Styela clava: one gene and its partners. The protein of the gene in region 2 interacts with the protein of the main gene of each other region in a pairwise test. Links are inferred from orthologs where the notes say so. Each region holds a gene or a part of one and is shown on either strand. Other genes may lie near its edges. The genes, in order: serine/threonine-protein phosphatase 4 regulatory subunit 1-like; centrosomal protein of 63 kDa-like; spectrin beta chain, non-erythrocytic 1-like.

Evidence for each region.
Region 1: the proteins of centrosomal protein of 63 kDa-like (region 2) and serine/threonine-protein phosphatase 4 regulatory subunit 1-like interact in a two-hybrid assay, tested with the Homo sapiens proteins (2 studies listed by BioGRID and IntAct). The link is inferred for Styela clava from reciprocal best matches to the Homo sapiens genes CEP63 and PPP4R1.
Region 3: the proteins of centrosomal protein of 63 kDa-like (region 2) and spectrin beta chain, non-erythrocytic 1-like interact in a two-hybrid assay, tested with the Homo sapiens proteins (2 studies listed by BioGRID and IntAct). The link is inferred for Styela clava from reciprocal best matches to the Homo sapiens genes CEP63 and SPTBN1.

Annotation. Positions count from the first base shown.
Region 1 is NC_135250.1:1,384,299-1,391,889, reverse strand, and holds the start of serine/threonine-protein phosphatase 4 regulatory subunit 1-like, read right to left. Parts: upstream 3,083-7,591; 5' UTR 3,041-3,082; coding exon 95-3,040; 3' UTR 1-94. Other genes in the region: toll-interacting protein A-like, read right to left, coding at 4,765-5,679. UniProt on the Homo sapiens protein: Regulatory subunit of serine/threonine-protein phosphatase 4. May play a role in regulation of cell division in renal glomeruli. The PPP4C-PPP4R1 PP4 complex may play a role in dephosphorylation and regulation of HDAC3.
Region 2 is NC_135258.1:3,855,356-3,863,381, reverse strand, and holds the start of centrosomal protein of 63 kDa-like, read right to left. Parts: upstream 3,108-8,026; 5' UTR 2,988-3,107; intron 1,416-2,987; 5' UTR 1,389-1,415; coding exon 1,230-1,388; intron 762-1,229; coding exon 542-761; intron 111-541; coding exon 1-110. Other genes in the region: uncharacterized protein LOC120339798, read left to right, coding at 3,831-3,867, 4,196-4,274, 5,097-5,267, 5,775-5,906, 6,165-6,251, 6,629-6,774, 7,605-7,708. UniProt on the Homo sapiens protein: Required for normal spindle assembly.
Region 3 is NC_135262.1:2,863,481-2,870,740, reverse strand, and holds the start of spectrin beta chain, non-erythrocytic 1-like, read right to left. Parts: upstream 3,015-7,260; 5' UTR 2,898-3,014; intron 1,576-2,897; 5' UTR 1,546-1,575; coding exon 1,504-1,545; intron 1-1,503. UniProt on the Homo sapiens protein: Fodrin, which seems to be involved in secretion, interacts with calmodulin in a calcium-dependent manner and is thus candidate for the calcium-dependent movement of the cytoskeleton at the membrane.

The DNA of each region.
Region 1 (7,591 bases), on a different chromosome or scaffold from region 2:
TGGATACGTTTCATTGATCTTCAAAAGTTCACTGAAGCAAATCACAGAGCTTATATTGAACTTCATATTAAGATGCAAAATGCAGGTTCTGAAATCAGCAAGATATTGCTGAAAAAAACTTGACATCTCTGTCCTTGTCACTTTGAAGTTCTTTGAGCATTGCACACATTTCCTCTCCCTCCCCTTCATCACAGAACGTTTGGACAGCGTACGAGAGAGCTTGGGCTGCGATTATTCGTACATTCACTATTCCGTCGCGTGCCATCTCGACCAATGTAGTTGAAAAATACTTTAAAAATATGTTGAACGGTAAGAGCAGCTCTCGTAGAATAAGGTTGCATATTTTGCAGAATAATGCCCGTTCTTTCCAGCGAGTACTCTTCGCCAATGCGGACGTAACTCGCTCCGTAAAAATCTGGAAATTTCTCTCATCCCCCGATTCATGTAGTTCGTTCAAAAGCCTCCCGATTAGTCCTCCAGCTTCCACTTGAACTGCGACGACTCTATCCGTGGCCAGACGCATCGTTATTGGACAAATATACTTCACAATGTCGTCACAGTTATACAGCTCAGTGAGAGAGCACAATTGTCTTGCCAGCTCATAGCGGAATCTCCAATTACGGCTGTTATCGATAGTGAGAAAGTCCGTTAGTTGGTAAAGATATATTCCACGGACTTCAGGTTTGAGTAGCTTTAAAAATTCTGCTAGGTGGCGCAACACTCCGATTCTAACATCGTCCAAATCTTTCAAGAATCCGTTGAAAACTGGAACTAACTCAGTCGCTGTCAATTCTTCGCCTAAAATTTTTGCCAATTCATGAATTGATGACGCTATTGTTCTCCGAACTTTCCATTGTACGTCTGAAGCCAGCTTTTGGTAAACGTCTTTCAAACAATGCCAATTATTTCGTCCGAGAGTGTACGCGACACCAGGAAGACTATAAGCACAGTGCATCGTTATTTCAGTGTCTACGGTTTGCTTTCTAGACGGATCAGTCATTGATAAGAAATTATCAAGCAACTGTTGTGGAATGACTGACTGCTGGCTTGATGCTTTGGAAGTGGGACTATGTACAGAAGATATAGGATCGAAATGGGCATAGTGATCTGATCCGGAAATACGGTCGGCAAAATCACGAGTGTAGTTGATATCATTAAGCGTACTGAACATTCGATAATTGATTTCCATATTATCACTCGATTCCGTTTCATACAAATCTGGGTATTCCTGTAAACTCGGACTTTGCCAATTTCGTGGCTCGTTTTCATCATAGTATTCATCATCACTGTCCTCGCTGCTTTCTTGATTTCCGTTTTCTGCAGCCGAGGGCGTTTTCTCTGTGACGGTTTCAGTTTGCTCTTTGGTCTCTTCTGTAATGGAACTTTCTGTCGAGTCTCCTTTTGCTAAATCAGAATCGTCATTTGGAATTACTTCTTCTGTGGTTTTCTCCAATCCAGAATCATCTGTAAATACTTCGACATTTCCATTTGTTGTTGTTAAATTTATCGAAGGAACGGCGTTAAGTTCATCATATTCTTCTTCTTGTTTATCATCCTTTATTTCTGCTGACTCAGCGTTCTCGTTTTCGGCTTTATCCAAATTAATATCAAAATGAATCGGCATGTTTTCTTTTTCCGCTGAAAACTCAATCGATTTCAAAACATCATCTTTGGTCGGTGAATAAACGTCATCATCCTGTTGTTCAACTGCAGTTTGAACTTTCAGCTGCTTACTTGTTTCTTTTTGCTCTAATTGTTCATCCGGTTTATCCTCCTCGTTTTGGTGGGTGGGATTAGAACTATTCACGTAAACTTGAGACTGAATTTCGTCTGTTTCCTTGTTTTGATCCATCGGAGTGACATCATCAAAATCTTCTTCGAAAGTGACGGGTGGTATCGGGTCACGCCAGTAAAGGAAGGAATCAAAATCATATTTCAGTTCATCATCAGTGATTTTATAACCAGGCACACCTGTTGCCGCTTGATTAAAATTATCACTCGCCGATTTGCTGTCAGCAAACGTAGATATAAAAGGTCCGAGAGACTCGAAAGCTGCGACGCGGACCCATCTAGATTGGTCTGATAGAAGGCCACTGTACAATGGAGAGAGCGTGTTGATACGAACTTCTTCAGACATGTGTTTAGCAAAGTCAGGGAAACTCTCTGCGCAAGATTTTCTCACCCCCCATACATTGTCTTTGCATAAACCGATAAATCGCGGCAGAAGATCTTTGTTGATAAGTGCATCATCGAGAATGTCACAAAATGCTGAAAAATTGGCGGCACAAACTTTACGGACATGAAATATAGTGTCATCAGAACAAGAATCCAAAAATATTGGCAAAAAATATTCTTTTGCGAATTCTGAGCCGAAGGATTCACAAATTTGACACACAAGGGCGATAGCTTCTGTACGGTATTCGTCAGGGGCCTGTTTACGTGAAGTGAGATCCTTTAGCAACGGTAAAATTTCATTTTCAAACTGACCAACTTTTAAATACCCAGCTTTGGTTATGTCTACTAAAACACTATGGCAGGTTTTGCGGACTTGATTATTCACGTCAGTGAGGTATCGGAGTAAAATAGGCACCACAGCACTGTCTAGCAATCTTGTATGAAATATTTCTGTTATCTCAGCAAGTTGTTCCATGAGTTCGACTCGAACTGACGGTTCTAAATCTTCTGAAAGCTTGAGATAACACTGAATAGCAGATTCGAAATCTTTCTCGTCATTTTGCACGGCTTCAAAAACATTACAAGCATCGTGAGCAATCATTCTACGATTAAATATATTGTCACTAACAGCGAAACATCTCAATCTTGCTAACGGTGTCAGAAGCTCTTCAGGTGTAGTGACATCGAGTGGTGACGGAATTGAAGAATCGTTAAAAGCCATAATTCCGCTACCAATTGTGCTAAATGACATTTGACCGTGCTGGTCACCTTCATTATTGTCATCTTCCTGGTCGTCAAAGTTCTCGTCCATGTCCACCTCCATATCCTCGTTCGGAAGGTTTAGGACGATCCGTAAATCAGTCATTTTAGTTGATTTATATTGTCAAAATGAGCAAAATCTGGCACTTTTATCCAATTCAGAAATAATAAATTTTCTCTTTGCGAAGTACAGGCAGATTTTGATTTGCACAGAAATTTATTAATTCTTCGTCCTTTGTATAGAATTTAAAACTAGATTTTTCGATAAACTTTAATTTAAAGCTGAATTAAAATATTAACAATAAAATATTGATTATTAGACATAGTAGTATAAGAACAATGATTAAATGAAATAATAAACATAAACAACTAGATTTAGAACAATTTTACTTTGGTGCTAATCTATGAAGCATGAAATAGCAGCATTGGTTTCTCCCGGATAACAATCAGATATTCTAACAAGTCAGGCTTCATTAATTTACGGAAGTGGAGGAGACTGAAGGATACCAAATTAGACCAAAATACACGACAGCCGTAATTTTCAGCTTATAAATTGGATAGGTAATGTCGAACCTAAAAGATCTTGGGAAACAATGAACTAACATTGCTCAGTTAACAAAGTAGCAAAAGGAAAGGATTTGGATATTTATACCGGGTAATGGGAATACCATCTACGGCAGCATCTTGTCTGGTTACCAGTGATGTCCATAACAAATAGTAAAAAACTAAAAGTAAATGAAATGACAACAAATTTGGTTTTTCGACTTTAATATTTGATATATTAATTTATATATATATTGTTCGTCTTATTTCTATTAAACTTGTATCAAAGTTAGACTCTTATCACAGGTGTCGCTGCTCGATAACCAACTTTGGTTGTTCGCGTCACCTTTCAATATGAAATGTCATTTTCAACTTTTTTTAAGTGTATGTTCACTGTGAGTGCATTTTCATTTTGGTGAAAAATAAACTACTGACTGACAGAAGTTACTCTAACATAAGGAAATACCTCACAAACATAATTGATGCCTATTTAAAAGCATAATTTAAGAGAATATTTACGGTATGTACAAAAAACAACACTAGCATGAAAATATCTGAAATATTTCAATAGATGAACAAACACATTTTCTCCATAATATACAACTGGATATTTCATATTTAAAACAGTTGATAATACGAGTCAGAAATAGCCAGAATACTGATTTTCAAAATTGCTGTACTTTTCTCGTTGTGGGGTTGCAAGTATAATTACTATATTTATAAGCACTATTATGAAAAAAAAAGATATTTGAGCAAATAACTGTAAATTCGTAATAAATTGAAATTGGTATTGCAGAATGATTCAAATAGTATATATTTCACACATTACAGTGTCAAAGGTGAATTATGTCTGATATCGGATGTCAAATCTTTACAATGATAAATTTTTTAAACAAAATTATTTTTAATTCTTCCTAATTTTACAATTTTACTGTATCGACTATCTTCAATTAGGGATGTATTCAAATATTTGGATGGAATATTCTTGATGGGAATATCCTCTGTTTTTTTGTTGTTCTGAGTTTAATGGACTAGCAGTCAACCGTGTTTAGGATCATTATAATGGGTAGGGAACATTAAATACAAAAAAGAGGACAGTTTAAAAAAGACGCACTTTCACTTATGTAAATGAAATAGCAACAGAAGTTATGAAATGGAAGATTTTACCATCTTAGAAGAATATAGTTGATGCTGCTAGTTTCAGCTTCAATGACTACACGATAAGGATGAATTTTTTTCTGAAGTATATTACATCATGTTACATTCCTATTTTTTAAACCAAACTTATTATTGCATATTTAATAGAGAATTAATAGCTGCATCCTTATTTCCTCCACTTGCTTCTAGAACTGCTTTAATCACGCTATCCTCCACGTTCGGAAACATTTCTTTAACTTGTTTGAGATCTTGTTCTGTGATCGCGGGTTGCTGAATTTGTGTTTGCGGCTGACTTGGTGGATACATACCCCCGACTTGGACACCAGGTGGCACCATGTACCCACCTGCTGCCGCGGGCATCATCATAGGTACACCAGCAGGATTATAGACGTGTGGGAACATCATCGGCATTGGAGCGTTGTATATAATTGGTTGCTGAACTTTGGACCATGAAATTTGTAAATGTATCATTCCTTCCTTTTCGTCGCCAAGTTTTCCGCTTAACGGCCACCAATCATCTTCAGATTTCCCACTTTTTATCGCGTCCGAAATGTCAATTTTACCCCACGCTATTCTGTTATCAATAGAAAAGGCTCTTTCATCGTAAATTTCTATCTTGATATGTTTTAAATCCTGTGCCACCGTAGTTGAAATAGTTTTATTCCAATATGGAAGCTTTGCGCCATTTTGTGCTGTTGCAGTTTCATAAACTGCATGTCCCACAATAACACGGCAGTATGGATCCATTCTTGTAACACCATAATTCTTATTTAATTTTGCTTCAACTAAAGTTAAATTCAATCTGTTTGCAGTTCCTGCAACAGCAGTTTGTGTCAGCATTTGTTGCTGCTGTAACGCCATTTGCTGTGCCAGGGTTGCGTCGTTCCTTGATTGTCCTGTTGAAACAGCGGTTTTTATTCTCAAAAAATCAGATGAAAGTTGTCCCAGAAGGACTTTACCTCGTTTAGTGTCTGTCAACTTCATACCGCCATTTCCGTTTACTGTTGGAGCCTGTGCAGGCTGAGGTTGAACTGCCGAAGCCATAGAACCCTAAGTGATAACTCAAATCTACAAAAATTTCAAACGATTGAAAACGACAGGTCAACGGAAAACTGGAAAAAGAGAACTAGACCCACAAAGATCAGAGCCAGAGAGCGGAATAGAAAATACAATTTGATACGCTTTAAGGGTCGAAGGTCATAATATTATAGGATTTTCATATTTAGAATTTACACATATTTACCCGGGGAGCCGACAAGACCTAGTCGTATGGCGAACCAATGCCTCTCGTCAGGTTACCGATCCATGTCGAGTATATAAGGTTAGTTAGCCAGGTCTTTATTTCAGATGCTTGAACTTTATGGTGGAGGAAGCCGTAGCCGACCAAGGGTTGTTACGTGAACCACCCTACGGCGGCGAGAAGTCCAGCAATCTTTTCGCACCTAATCATCACTCACGGCCCACGGGGTTCAAACTTGCGAACCCACGCAGAGGTGCGGAGCGTATTTCTGACGCTCAGCATGATGCGCCACGCCGCCGAGCCGGGAGGAAATCTGACAAGATTGGCTAAACCAGCGTTTTTCAAACTGTATTCCAAGGAACACTAGTGTTCCGCGAGCGTCATCGAAGTGTTACGTCTAAAATGGTCGCCATGGCGATCTTTGGAACGTGAAGTTGTCGTCTAACTGGCCGTCACCTTTACTTACTGGGGTAGTGGCTTTTTCCGTCGGCCTAGCTTGTTGAATGTTCATTAACGAGTTTACAGCAATCCTTTTGATTTTTGCTATAGGCAAACGAGTAGAAAGAATAAAGGCAAAAAGTCAACACTTCTTCCCCATCTCTGCCTGGTTTTACTCTAGAATGCTGAAAAAAATTACTCATTTCGCTAAACTCTATTCAGTAGATGAACTGCAGTAAAATAAATGAATTGATCCATATACACAGCATTTAAATTAGGAAATAATAAAACATTTATAATAAATGCATTATGTAAAATATTCAAAACAATCCTGTTAATTTTCGCGGCGCATTGAGAACCCACTGGGAACGGCTACATTACACCGTTATTCATTATCAACTTTACCCTTTCTTTTTTTGGTGTTCCGCGAAGCGAGATAAAAAGTGTAAGTGTCCCGTTGACGAAAAAGTTTGGGAAACACTGGGCTAACCCATATGGCACACTACAGTCACTCGCACGGTTTCAGTCCATGTCGGCTGAGATTGTGTTAAGCTAGTTATTTGTTTTATGTATGTGTACTTGATGGTGGGGTAATCTATACACGACTGGTGGTTACATGAACCATCCACCTCACGACGGAGAAGAGTCCACAGAGCTGCCCAATTAACGCTCCGGCTTGTACTTGGCCGCGTAAATTTGTAAGCAGACTTCCAATATTATCATAATATATTTTAGTACTCTTATATATTTTCAATCATGTTTTGCAATTCTGGCATAATTGATTCGGTAAGCTATATTTCCCCCAGTTTTCCTTGTCTCATAGATAGATAGATTTATTTTGAAGACTCCATAATACACACAAAATATAAAAGGAGAATTCTGGAGAGCGAACAAAACCTTTGAAAAGTTTAAAACATGAGAAATATCATGTGCCCACCCACCAGCACACACGCAAAAAAATTACAATAAACACAAACCTTTTTAAACATGGCTTGGGCCAGAAATGAACAAACAAAAAATACGCGGATGTATTGAACCTTCGGGCAGTTTTACTTTTGGAGCACTCAACCTACAGTAATAATGATTTAGAGACAATCCAGTACGGAATATCTGTATAGGCCAAATTTAAATGTCTCGAAAAGATTGGTGAATCGGGTTCTTCTGTGGTTTTCGAATAGTTCAATTTAAAATGATCGAATCATATGCCTTAGTTAGATTGATTCTTGCTCCCCGGCGGGCGTGAACAATTAGTTTTTTTTGTCAATACGATTATTGTGA
Region 2 (8,026 bases):
TGCTCCTTTCTCTTTCACAAACTCTGTCTCTTGTTGAACTTTTGAGTCAAGTTCAGCACGAGTTTTTTCAAGTTCTTTTTGAAGTGTGTGCTCTCGCTCACTTATCTTTCCTGTTGAAAGATAACAGCTAGGGTAGGTAAAATAAAGTACTTCTATCGAATCTGAAATTTCAAATATTTTCAGTCTACGATCAAGGCCAGGGTCGATACTCTATTTGGAAAATAATGGAAGATATGAATAATTGGTAAAAACAAAATTGTTTGCGTTATATTAGTAGGTGTGATGGCTTAGTGCAGTGTTTCTCAACCTTTGCGTCGCGACCCAAAACTGCGTTGCATGAAAAATCTTTTTGGGTCGCCTGTTATTTCATCAATAAACTTGAAAGTTATTGATATTATTTTCTAGTTGATTTTATAGATTACTTAATATCTGGTAATGGAGTGTTCTTAGGAATTGTATGAGCATGGCTGTCTCAATTCGAAGTAATTTTTTGTAAAATAAATGTTATATAGTATTTTAAATTATTTGATTAAATAATCACCTTGTTTTGCATAATGTTTCTGCATTTTTGAGTACGTCGATTTCAATTGTAGTAATTCGTTGCGAAGATACGATAACTGGGATTCGTATTGTTTTACCACGTTTCGTTGGCTACCGTCAAACCCATCTAATTTGTGTTTCAACATTCCTACTTCCTGATGTTTTTGATTTAACATAGATTTAGTGTGACCGAGTTCTTGTTCACGAACTTCGAGTTTGTCCTGCAATAGTGAGAAGAGATTATTTACGAAGTGCCTTATATCCTTGCATATAGGCCGAGTTTAAAAGTCTTAGTATAGATAAATCTCATGCCTCCCACTTGACTCTCATAAATACTCAAAAAACATACGCCATGCCTCCCCCCTCCCCCAAAAAAATTCAATATTTTTTTGTAATGCACTTTCCAGGGATCGCAGTCAGACATCAATTTTGCGGCTTTTCAATACCATTTTGCTCTATTCTTGAACAATACACTGAAACTCAACGTTTCTTGGCTTACTACCAACAATCCTTTATTATAGCTTGGATAACTCCCGACAGCGAAGTGAGTTTGTAGAGTGTTTATTTGGGATCTAGTTAGAAATGGCTTAATAACAGCTTTTGTCTAGCCTTGTTTGAAGCAAAAGGCATGAGTGAAGCTGAAAGCAAAAAAAAATTACTATCTTATCGAAGAATACAGAAATAGTTACCTGTACAGCTGCTAGTTCCCCTTCCCATTCCATTTTCTTATGTCGGACCATGATGTCAATTTGCCGCATTAATTCTTGCAGTTCAGCACCACATGATGTCAGTAGTAATCCACCATCTAATTGTTGCTTCTGCATACCTTCCCATATTGTAGTGTCCATAATTATGTGCTGCTAATATGTGTTATCCTGTAAAGGACAATATAGAAAAATAATTTACGCAATCCTGTTGAATTAAAAAAAACTTGTGCATTTTAATTTGGATGAAAATTATTAGGTCAGTATGTTGGGATAGGCTACATAATTTTATGAATCAGTCTTAAAAAAACATAGAAACAGAATCATTGCAACAAAAAACCATGAAGACAGTAGGCTATAGTTATCTGACTCCCATATGTCCCGACATTTGGGCACATAAAAAAAACACTCTGCCATCACGTGACCAAAATTCTGTTTTTTTGCTATAAACTCTCAAATGCTTTCAAAATTTTTTTCCTTCCAGTAAATTAGATCTCTACAGCACAATTCTCCTATTAAAAAAAAAAACCCACATAAAAAAGACATTAATTATAACAGTGAGTGCGAGGCCCCCCTTTACGAAAAAGTCAGGTCTCATGTAGTTTCTTACCTAACACACTTCTAGTGGGCGTAGCATGAAATTTTTTTCAAGTATCAATCCTAACCCCCACCTGACTACACCATCCAAAAATTACGTCATTACGACGTCACAGTGACGTAATAGAGCCCTTCAAACTATACGAACTGCCATCCAAGACGCGCAAACGAGCACCCGAAATCGAACAGTTCTCTCGTCGCAACGATTCCAATAGGAGAGAGACCGATAACGTCAGTCAGTTTTTTATCGCCGGCGCCAATGCCGTTTCGGTCGATCGTGCGTATATTTGGCAAGCTCTATGCCGTGATTGTGATGTCGTAGTGATTTAATTTTTTTGGATGGCGTAGTCAGATGGGGGTTAGGATTGACATATCAAAAAATTGTTATGCTACGCCCACTAGAAGTACGTTAGGTACGAAACTACACGAGACCCAAAAAGTCTGGGGGCTCCATATCGCCTCAAAACACAAACCGGCACTGCAGATAAACCAAACGGAAGTGCAATTCAAAAACATTACTATTGAATTCCTTGAAAAAGATAATCGAGTTTACAAGATTAAAAAAATATTTTCTGTTGTAGCATTCAGAGTTTTTAGCAAAGAAAGAATATGTCATCGTAACAGACGTCCTCGTTTCAGAGACAATATAATGTTGTTTTATTGAACCAAATGTCGGGACATATTGAAATCAGAATACTGTGCCCTATTTAATCATTACCATAAATCACAACAATTTTTGTTACAATTTATATGGGCATTCGGAAAAGCTTTAAAAAATAAACTAATCACATCCAGCAAACTTGTGGAATACATGTGTTAGCTGTTCACTAAAAGACCAACACTGACAAAGGCAAAAAAGAATATTTCTGTATTTGTAAATGTTTTCCATTAGCAACTACAGGTTTACATTTAACAGAGTGAGAGAGATTTCGCCAACCTGAAAACAGAGCAGAGAGAGAGAGAGAGATTTATTTCCACAAACAATGAAATGAGCATTGCAACAATAATAAAAATATACAACAGCACATACCACTAACAATAATTAGTCAACATTAATTCTAATTTGGTTTGAACTTTTTTGAACATCAATTAATCCTTATACCTTCCCCCATATTTACTCCCGTCCAAAAAATTACTACAACTCACTTGGTTTTCGTTTTTCCGCCAACGATTTTGTAAAATTTTCTGTTGGTGTTCGTTGTCGCGCCTCAGTGATTACAAAAATTATCCTAGCGTGTAAACAGCTGATACTGGATTATATATTCTTATAAAAGTAATGAGGTAATTAGTATATAAGAATTAATATTAATATTAAAATTATATTAATAAAATGCGGTTGAAGATTATTTATGGTATATTCAATCAGATAAAAAAACTCAAACTAATTGAGCGAAAGAAAACACATTCGGCGACCGAGAGCAGAATAATGTTGACGTCTAGTCGTCGTACGAATTGCCAACTAAATGTACCGTACTCGTTTCTATATACTTATTCAGAAAATAGATTTAGAAAGTTAACCAATTATTATTCTGTTAAATATATAATATTATAAAAATTATTGAAATTTAGTTCAGTATAATTTTAATTATTTCAAACTAAATGGTAAATTGGAATTTATTATTTACTTAATTTAAGTACCGGTATAAGTTTACCGGTATTATTCATAATCAGCAGTAGACGATAAAATATTAAATGAAGACAAAAAAATACCTGATTATAGAATCGGGAGAGCAAACAAAACCTCGAGTAAGGTTTGAAATGTACAGAATTTAGATGGAAAAGTATGTGTTCGCTCACACAAAAATATTTAAAAAAAATATGGCATTAAGAATTTTAGCTCAATTCTAAATCTTGTCGAATTGATAAATCTGAATAATGCTCGACGTCCTTTCTGAAAGACTGAAATAAGTAGTTTGTAATTGTTGAATGTTTAGTGCGAAAGATGGATTAAAGTTGTAGAATATAGGATTTTTGTGAAATATTTGAACAATGGAAGACACAAACATTTTTATTCAGGCCATCGAGGGTGAGTTTTTTGTTTGAAATTGTATTTTTCAATATTTCATTTATCAAGTATGAGTAACGTTATGAGTTTTTTTCGACTCAATAATCAGCATAATAGGCGATAAAATAATTGATAAAAACAAAAGAAATAAAACTGATTGTAGAATTGGTAGGGCAAACAATGATGGAGTCTGTGAATTCTAAATCTTGATATTACAGTACGGCACACTATACAAATCGGGTGACTTTGTCCCGTTTCAGAGAAACCATTTTCCATATGATCAGACACCCCTCCTTTGGGAGATGTCTGGACATTGTTATCTCTCATACATTTTTATTTTATTTTTTAGGCTATGAAGAAAAACAAGATCCCCTGTCAGAAGAACTTGATCGGTTTATAACTTACATTGCAAGGACCGGAGATATCTTGTAAGTTTTGTTTCTGGGTTGTTGGCTGGGTTCTGTGTTAAGTTTTGTGGTATTGACACTTTTTGAGAAACACAGCCCTAAAAATACTCGGGTCTGATATAGTTTAGTACCACATGCACTTCTAGTTGGCCTGGCTCAACAATTTTTGCATATGTCAATCCTAACCCTTACCTGACTACGTCACCCAAAAATTACGTCATTTCGACGTCACAGTGGCGTAATAATGGCCACCAAAGTACGTGAAAGGTCGTCCAAAACGCGCAGACGAGCACCCGAAATCGAGCAAGCTATCTCTCTTGTTTTCTCGTCACAACGATCACGATAGGAGAGAGATCGCTGGCTTTAGCGGGTTTGTTATCGGCGGCGCAGATGTCATTTTGGGCGATCGTAATTATACTTTGGCAAGACCTATGACGTGATGGCGACGTCGTAGTGACGTAGTTTTTGGATTGCATAGTCAGGTGGGGGTTAGGAATAACATGTGCAAAATTCGTTATGCTACGCCCACTGGAAGTACCTGTGGTACTAAACTATACTAGACCCAAATACTCAAAGATGTCCAAATTGTATCGAATATTTGGTGTGTTAAATTCTTGATCAGTGAAAAATATCTAGAATAGCTACATTACAAAAATCATCCTTCCCAGCTATTGAGAATGCATGTGGAACATTTTCCGGTTTTGGTCATCCCTGAGTTTTGACCAATTTGATGGAGTTCTTGATTTTTCACAATTACTTAGCTATTTAAGCTATTATTCTTGTCTTGCAAATAAGCAAAATTTTGTATTCCTTGTTGAAGTTTAATATATTCTTCTCCACTAGGGGGCCATGGGAGAAAGTACAGAAAGTTTTCATGAAGAAATTGACGTCAGTGTTAGATGAATTTTACAATATGGCTCCTTATAAAGTTGGGAAAATCAACGCAAATGCGACCAACGATGATTTTGATGAAATGAAAAAAAGATTGTTGCAGTTGACGGAAGAGTTTGACAGGTGTGTTACTATGTTTCTTGATTCAATAGTTTGGGCCAGTGGAAGTTTCCTCGACCCTTGACCCCCAAAAAAATCTCCCTATACTTAACCATTGCAAAATTTTAAACGCTCATTTCGAGAGTGTTTTGGGGAATTAGCTCATACAAACTGGCTCACATGTTCAAAACTCATTTTTATTAAAACGCAAAACTGCGTGCCGCTTACAGATACTTATAGCTAATTTTATAATAGTCTATCGCAGCATTTGCAGTATCGATTTTTAATTATTGCAACTCATCTAAATGTTCTCGTGAGGCATGCTGATTGATGCTTGGGGAAACATCCATAGTGGTCGCATTCTGATGAAAATAAATTTAATCAGTTACAATACTTTGAGCAAATTTCTGTTGGCTCTATGGCATTGCTTGGTATTATTTTTTTCAGACTCCGCAGCTCTTCCCAGCTCCCATTTAACTTATAATACTGTGAGAAATGATAGGAAAAATTAGTTGAATCTTTCTTTTACAGTCCGCCTTTCACAATCCAAAGACTTTGTGAACTTCTTGCAGAACCGAGGAAGAATTACACAAAATGTGATAAATTTATGAGAGGAATTGAGAAAAATCTAATGGTTGTCAGCTCATGGAGTAATCTACCAAGGTAAGACCTTTTTTCAAATAAAAATCAATTTTGAAAATAAAAATTTGACCTTGTCAAAAATTTAATTAATTATATTGATAGGCCTTTGTGCTCAGGTAATTTTTAAATGAGCAGCAACTGTATTTATTGATATATGAAAACCACTATTTTTGGATGCCAACGCAACTTTGTCTATCATTTTACCCACAATACCATTGTGACTATGAATATTCTATTGTTTTTTTCACCCCTACTTGTAATGAACAAACAATTTCACAGGACTCTCTCAGATAGCAATGACAACAACATGATGGTGAATGGTGTGGACTCGATGCCGGGCAATGGATACACTCCTGGAAGCGATAGGTGGGTGTAATGAATGTGTGAGTGAGTGTGTTCACCTGTGACTATGCTCAGAGATATGTCTCGTTTGATTGTTTAATTTAGTGAGTGTTACATTGCATTGAGGCTTGCTTTGAACAAATTTTGAATATAGACGAACTTCTTCTTTTCTAGTGGTCGAACCAGTGACCATCGAATTACTGTGTGAATTTTTTCACTCACTATTACATTTATATCAGATTTTATCCTTTTGTCCCAAATTTGACTGTTTTTTTTAGTTCATGGGTAAACTTTCATATGTCGTTTGGTACAATGGTTGCCCTATTAGTTAGACATTTAACTTTTGTTTTAGACTCGTGTTTTTTAGCTAATTGCCTATTTTTTTCCTGTTCAAACTTTAGATTCAAACCTCATTGGTCTAATTTGCCACCATCACCAATCAGCACTACCCCACCTAAGATACCGGGAGTTCCAGATTTTACAGCAGTTACTTTGCCAAAGCTGGAAATCACTACTGGAGAAACAGGAGAGTCTACTATTGAAGATGGTATGTATAGAATAGGTCTGTGGTTCCCAAACTGGGGTGGCGCCCCCTCATGGGGTCGCATGAAGATTTTGGGGTGTGCAACATTTTTTGTCGGTGGGCCATATAACCAACTTCAAACATTCAGCTGGGACAAAAGAAGAGAATGCTGCTATTCCCTGGCCTTACAGTAATAAATGCACCGGGCAAATCGTCATAAGATTTAAGAATATTAGTGTTGATAAGGGCCTTACAAAAGGCCTGACGGGCCGGGTTGTGACTCGCGGGCCGGGCCACCTGTTGTACACCCATGGGGACAATGCCAAAGTAAAATAATTCCATTTCTTTCAAATATGATTGGATCCTTGCTTATCAGTTGCTGGCTATCTAGATAATTATTCGTAGTTCAAGTGCGAAGCGAATCTAATGAATTTAATTTCATTTCTCTTTCAAGCATGGACTTGTTTATTTATTTTCCATATGACCAGTGGTTCTCAAATCGTTTAGGCCGCGCCCCTTTTTTAGAAGTCTCCCGACTCAACTCAGGAATAACTAGTTAACAATTATAGGCTACGAAAACAGATAGTAATCAAAAGTATGTTTTATTTAAAAAACATGTTAAAAATATGTGGATGGAATGTAAATATCCAAAATAAAGAGATGTAAATATCCAAAATAAGACTGACAAAATCAAATCTGAAAAATATTTAAATTTTTCTTTTTAATTAGCTTCAAGCCTCCTCAAAAAATTTTCTATTAGTCGTGGGTCGCACCCAATCGATTAAGAACCACAGTTTAAGACTTATTGACCTCCCTCTCTCATAATATGAATATGAAAATCTTATTCTATTCAGCAGAGACAAAGACAGCAGTTTCTGAAACCCCCGCTTCTGAGGAAAGGACTGAACAAACTGAAACAACACCTGAAATGGTAACAGAAGAAACTGAGAACACACAGGTAAGATGTCCAGTTTGTCTGCTCTGGAAAAGAATCACAGTAATCAAAGCATACCCAACTATGGATGTTTCATGAGCATCGATTTCCTTGTTTATTACCATAACAATGGCCAATTAGTAAAAAGTCAGCAATGACGTAACAATTGCAATTTTTGCATGCGTTTTGAGCGTAGTGCCAACTCTCCAAAACACTCTCAGAATAAGCATCCAAAATGTTTTTGAACGGTAAAGTATGGGGAGAATTTTTCTGGGGTCAAGGGTCGGAGAAACATACATTGGGTTCGAAAAATTAATATTTTGGTTGTTAAACTATTTTAAA
Region 3 (7,260 bases), on a different chromosome or scaffold from region 2:
TGCTCTCTAAAGCAGTGGAAATTAGCCAGTGGGACGCACCCCAAAAGAGGGGCGTAGACAATATTTTGAGGGGGCATGTGGCTAATTGAAATAAAATTATTTGTTAAATTTGATCTTGCCCGCCTTATTTTGTCTATTTACCTTACTTTTTCTCATTCTGGATATTTAAATGTTCTATCCACATATCTTCAACGTGTTTTTCGAACAAAACATACTTTCTAACTGTTATTTGTAATTGTAGCTTATTGTTAGCTACCGGTAGTTATTTTTGAGGTGGGGCGCGAGACTTAAAAAATTCTAAAATTTATATGTGGGGCGGCCTAAAATGTTTGAGAACCACTGGTCTAAATTTGGGGCTCCCGAAGTCTGCGAACCAAGATGGCGGACATCGGAACGTAACATGGGTAACAGGTTAGGGCTAGGCGATAATTTTTCTCCAATTTTCCTTATTTTAGTCCTATTATCCGTTCGAAGACTAGCCAAGAGCCTCCCGTAGCATTTATACCTAAAATTATGGCCTAACCCTAACCTAGTACACATATTACATTCCGATGTCCGCCATCTTGGTTCGCATACTTCGGGAGCCCCCTAAATTTAGTATATTTGATTTGATAAACTCCTTAGTTTCTTTACCGTAAATATTTGGAATATTTATTAACGGCATGGACACCAAAAGCAACAAACGAGCACACCCAAACCATGACAGCATATGAAGATTATGATTACTTGCTCTAATCCAGGGTCGTTCAACATATTTTGTCGTCGGGGCACATTGGAACCTCAAGTTGGGCCACACAAAAAAATTAGTATTCCATATGAATTCCGACAAAAAATTATCACAATGCAATATTTAACCCAGTGACAAGACAATTTCTATTCATGTGAGTGATTAGGATTTTATGCTTGATGAGGAAAAATCTAAGTGTTGACAAGGCTCACACTAAATGACTCGGCTTCAGTTGGCGGGTCAGTTGTTGGCCCGTTGGCCACCTGTTGCACACCCCTGCTCTAAGCGAACCAAAAACTGGAATATATTCAAAATTAGTTATGTTCTAAAAAGTTAATTCTTGATATTAAAAATGATTAGATATATTTTAATTTTAATAATGTGATTCTACATACCGTAATTGAGATTAGAAATTCCTGGTTTGCTAATTAGATAATTAAGTTCTTATAATTGTGGAAAACCAATCAATAAAACCTCCGCTTCATCATAACTTGTTTTTTCACTACAAAATCAATAATAGAATCAATATTCTGTTGCCGTGCTTATGACGAAATTCAAAAATACAAAAAGTATTCAAAATAGTAAATTATTTTCTTTTAGCATATTTACTAGAAAAAAAATGGATAAAAAATTCTAATGGAAGCCCAAAGTTTAAACTTGCAATGTCTTTTAATGTGAATTTATGTTAGACTAATGTCACCCTTAGCAGAAGCTGACATTACTATGACATCACAACGAAGCATGCGAGATGATATTGTGACACAACAAAAACTTACTTCTCTTTCAAACGGCTCCATCTTGGCTAAAGAAACAGACATTTTATGGTTTTAAACAATTCCTCGTGAGAGCTTGCAAAATTAAAAATTAAAGAAATCAATATGTTATAAAGAAATATTGTATCTAGTAGTGAGACTTCTTGAACACGGAATTTGTCTTTCTAGATAAGATAATCTGTTAGTCTAATAATGCATTAATTACATATCTTTACTCTGAGGTAAGGTGAGGTGAGTAGACACCGATTATATAGATATCCTTGTTTGAGTGAAGATATAAAAAAAACTCCTATAAATGTAATAGGCTATATCAAATATTGTAAAAAATTATAGTATGTTTCCAAGCACTCACACATAAGAAACTCCTAAGAAAGCAAAGAAATTATGAAGAACCCAAGGTATATGAACTACTGCTCAAATTTTTAAAAAATGTTGCCTTCAACATGAAAATTGAATCGATTAAGTAAAAATTAGTAAATTAAAAATAATGATTACCGGTATGTAAAATCCATGATCATTCAAGTGTTCAAAAGTAAACAAATTTTCATAAATTCCATAAATTATATCATAATTTAAAAAACATGGAATAATAATTGTATAATTGATTTATGATATTATAGCAATTGAAAATACTTGTTCTAAATCTAAAGTACATGAAATATAATTAACTCAAGTAGACCGCAAAGTACTCTCTTTGACACCAGATAACTCTCGAGTGTTGCAAATATTGACAAACTATATCCGGACACACCTATGTCTGCCGTCTAAACGGTATATCCAAATAAAAAGCTTGTATCAATGGCTATTTATTAAAGAATGTGTTATAAGAAATTTAGAAACTTTTTGCTTATTAAAAGTCTAGTTAATAAAAATCTGGTTCTTCTATTATTAATAATGATGCTTAAAGTGCACAACACGTCCTCTTGAAATTTTTTCATTAAAAATTTGAACATTTTTGATGGTTAGGTCCTGAAAAAAGACACGTTTTCAATTTCAAACTGAACAAAATTTACTCAAAAAAAAGAAATTCTGATAGAGGTGTCGAGAAATTCAGTTTCGAGAAATGTGTGAAATAATTGGAAAATAATTTATTATCGAAATAATATAAATTTAAGAATCATTCACTTTTGTTTGGCAATTTAATTTAATCAAATTTGAGCCATTTTGTCCCTATAAATGGGACCTTAATAGTAAATGAGTCTTCATTGTTTTAATAATTGAATAAAACAATTGAAACCTTCTTGCATTACAAAAAAAAATGAAAATTACACTGAAATTAAACATCATGATAATCATGATAATCTTCATTAATATTCAAAAATAATGAAAAACGAAATTTAGAGCATAGTCAAATAATCATAAACTATAACTAAATGAATCTTTAAAAATGTCCTCACCTGCTTAGCTCTTCACAAAAAAGTGCCACCTAGTGTCAAAGAATCCAGAAGATGACGAGATGAAGAAGTATTGCTTTACAACCAAGCTAATCAATTGTATTTTCATACACTAACATTTAAAACTGAAAGATATAAGAATTTTAGTACTTAGATGAAAAAGATCGAAAAACAGGCATTTTGGGAAAAATTTAATACCGACAATGCAATAAAATGAGTTTTAGAATCTCTTTCACCATCAAAGGCACAAAAACAGACTCAGAAATGGAAATCTCATACAAAGGAAAAGCAGCAAATGAATACTGTCTAAATCAGGGTGGTCCAAACCCAGGCCCAGCTTCATTATCTGTGGCCCGCATCATATTCTGAAAGTAATCAAGAAATCGCACTCCGTGTTGTTTTGTCATAAAATTAATCAGAAAAACCTTTTGACATATTGTTACATCAATAATGTCACTGAATGGACTAGTGTTATGGCTATCTGAGGCAACTAGCGAAGTTGAATGATGTGCTTGGCAGTCTAAATTATTATCTGGCTTTCTATCTTTTTGGTTGGGAATATATGCTTACAATATAGGCATCATAGAAAACTAAAAATCGAATGCGGATTCTATTAGCCCGGAATGGCTATGTCTGATAACTATGTGTTTGCACAATAAAGTATTCGATTTGTATTGCATTGTTTACCTATTCTTGGCACTATTGTGGCCCGCGAACAATGCAGAAATAATTTTGTGGCCCGCAGAGCCGACAACTTTGGAAAACCCTGGTCTAAATGATATTTCATTACATTGCAAAATGCTATCTCTGACATGGGTAAAATACGGCACACGGGCCAAATTCAATCTGGCCTGCCTGATGCTGCCACAATCCAACAAAAACCAAATTCTGATGTTTTAGCTAAAAAAAATAGCCCAAAGAATTTGTTGTGATTGCGATTGAATTTAGTTTGGGCTCAAATTGAGTACCAAATATGGTGCTCCCGAAGTATTCGTATCAAAATGGCGCACAACCTGAGCATAGTATGTGTATCAGGTTAGGGTTTTCAGGTTGTGCGACTTCTTGGTACAAATGCTTCAGGAGCGCCCCAAATATATTATAAGCTTCCATCTTTCTCAAAATGAATGCAAAAAATATTACGTTCCACCTTGCAGAATTGGAACTGCTTTCCTAAAAAATAAATCTCAAATTTATTAGTGTAGAATGTTCAGACACCTTAATTGAGTGAACCTTGTCTAGACAAATTTGTAAATATTTACACGAAGATGTTTTCTTGTTTACATTCGTGCGATCAAAAAGATTTAGGAGATTTTATGGATCACCTCACACCCATGGCTTTAGCTAACAGAAATTTTTACATTTAAATTGATCAATATACAGTATTGTGAGCATACAGGAAAAGATTTACTGCAAAACAGCCCTTCAACAGTGAATTTATAAAAATTCGCATATAAGCTGACCCTACAAATCATAACACGCTGCACCTACCACAAAAAAACGGTTGTAGAAGAGAATTACTGAAAATGATAACCATTATTCTTATGTTTAACTTTTATCAAGTTATGCGCTCTAAGACCCCTTTGTTTGGCAACTTTTTTTTTAGTTTAAACTCTGCTTATATGTGAGGATATATAGATAAATAAAGAATTTTACAGCGCTCCCGAAATATGTGCACAACCTGAACCCTAACCTGGTACACATACTATGTTTAGGTTGTGCGCCATCTTTGTGCACATACTTCTGGAGCTTCGAAAATTATACATTCCAGTCAGCTACCGGTATATAATTATAATAAAAAAATAATAAAAAGTAGAGATACTAGAATACCAAACCCCCAAAAATGTAATTGTACCATTGGTTAAAAAAAAAATTGGCATACATCCAAGTTAATCCAACCACAAACATTAAAAATATGAAAATGAAAAAATACATTTTATAGGCACATCCCATGCAGCAGCGCTTAAAATCAAGTCTACTGTTTATATGGTATTATTAAGCCCTCTAAAGAGTTTTACTCAAATGGTGATTGGAACTATATATCCATTCCTATTCCTAACTTGTCGACAGCCCAATAACCATTCACAGAACGGGAGACATTGAGATATAAATTGGGACCATATCCATTCTTATGAAAATGAAAAATAGAACAATCCTCAAATCAACTGCATGACTTAGTTCTATAACCCTACTTTTTACAATTTGAATATAAATTTTACATTCCATAATAAATGACATGATAGACTTTTAAATTCCATCTAGATGAACAGAGATATTACAGACACATCTTGAGAGATAATTACAGCTTTATATAAGTCTTAACATATCATTATAAGTCTAACATATCATTATAGCTTATACAATTCATATCAAGAAAAACAGAAAATTGAGGGCAATTTCAGTGTAAATATGAGCAACTAATATTCAGACATTTTGCAGCGATTTCCTATAATGATGGCCATGTGGTTAGAGCAGTGGTTGCGAACCTTTTTGGTGAAGCTCGAGTCCAACTCCAGAATTTCATCCTAATTTATTACACTCTTGAGGTGGCGACATGGGATTTGGACCTGAAATCTGCCCTTTCACAATTTAACAGCAATACCTGAAGCCTTTTCTGCAAAAATAATACCAACAAGAATTCACTTCAAAATGATCATTATCAAACTTTAATTTTAGTCTGTTTGTGCCTGAAGCAGTTTTGTGGTAAATTTCGATGTAACTTGATACTATATTTTACAAAAAGCATAACTTGTTACCGATAAGCTTCAATCTCAATACTGAGAAGTAAAGGAGTATGGCAAAGCTAAACGTTTCACGGAATAAAAACATGAAAGAAAACTGTAAAATATTATGGTCTAACCCTAACCTACGCTAACAACGGAAGTTCCGAAAATTTGAACTCCATGAACCTTAGTTTACGCACGTAATATATTGACAGACTCCCGAAATTAACCGACAATGACAATCTCGTTCTTTTCAAAATCAAAACCATGCAGATACACACACTCGCCACACAATGAACCATCTTATTCATGTGTAAAATTATCCTTTTATACGCATCGTACGGCTCACTGCTTCACAAAAACGAAACATGACAATTACTATGTAGAAGAAATCACAATAACAGCGCGAATACAACGATTACGACATCACTTCGACTGAAATTTGCAGAAAAACAAAAGATTTAAATCAGTGAAGCGTAAATGAGAGTCCTTCAGAAAATTAATTCCGGATAATAAAATACCGATGAGTAAAATTGTTAAGTAAATAGAATTGGCGATTTTAAGAAAACTGAAGTGGAATAAATGCTCACTTATAAAAATAAAACAAAAATAATTAAATATCATTCAGACTTCAGAGATTCCTTTTTAAAACTGGGGATGATGGATTAGGAATACTCATATTTATCCCAGATACGGAAAAGTCAACAAGACAGCTTAATCATAATATGTCAGGCATGATTCCTTGTTTGATTGTCAGTTTAAGTCAGTGTCAGACAGAATATTCTGAATCGAAACCAAGTGTAATAATTCTGGTATTTGACTTTCCGTTTTAAATTGATTAAGTTTGGACTTGTCAACTGAGCTAGATAAGATATAGTGAATGAGTATTTCATATCCCATCTTAAGATGAGAAGATATTTGTCATTGCAGCAGACTTATATTGAAATGCTGATGGCTTTCTACACTATCAAGTCCATGCAATTTAAAAAGTAACAGGCTAATGATTCCCTTACCCAATATAGACTGACAAATGTACAAGAGATCATGGTTTGGCATATCATAATGTCAGTTAGTCATATCATCAACTTTCCTCTCCCATAAGATAAAAAAAAACTATTCCATAAAATAAAGACTTGCATGCTTTAAGTTAAAGATAGGTAAAATGGTGCTCCTGAAGTATGGGAAGCAAGATTGCGGACATCGGAACGTAACATGGGTAACAGGTTAGGGTTAGGCGATAATTTTTTTCCAATTTTCCTTATTTTAGTCCTATTATCAGTTCGAAGACTAGCCAAGAGCCTCTCGTAGTATTTATACCTAAAATTATGGCCTAACCCTAACCTAGTACACATATTACATTCCGATGTCCGCCATCTTGGTTCGCATACTTCGGGAGCTCCGGTAAAATTATATCCAAATATGAAGCTTGGTCTATAAACTCTTCATAACAATTTTACACCCACAGTGTACCACTATGCTCAGTCATATAAGGGTTCATAAGAGTTCAAACTGTATATTAGCAAATAAATACATCCCACTTCGCTATATAAAACAAAAGTAATTAAAACACAAACAGTGTCTGAATAAATACGTAAAAATAAATAACACTTCAGTAAAACCAAATTCGCTTATGCCACATTTTTCGG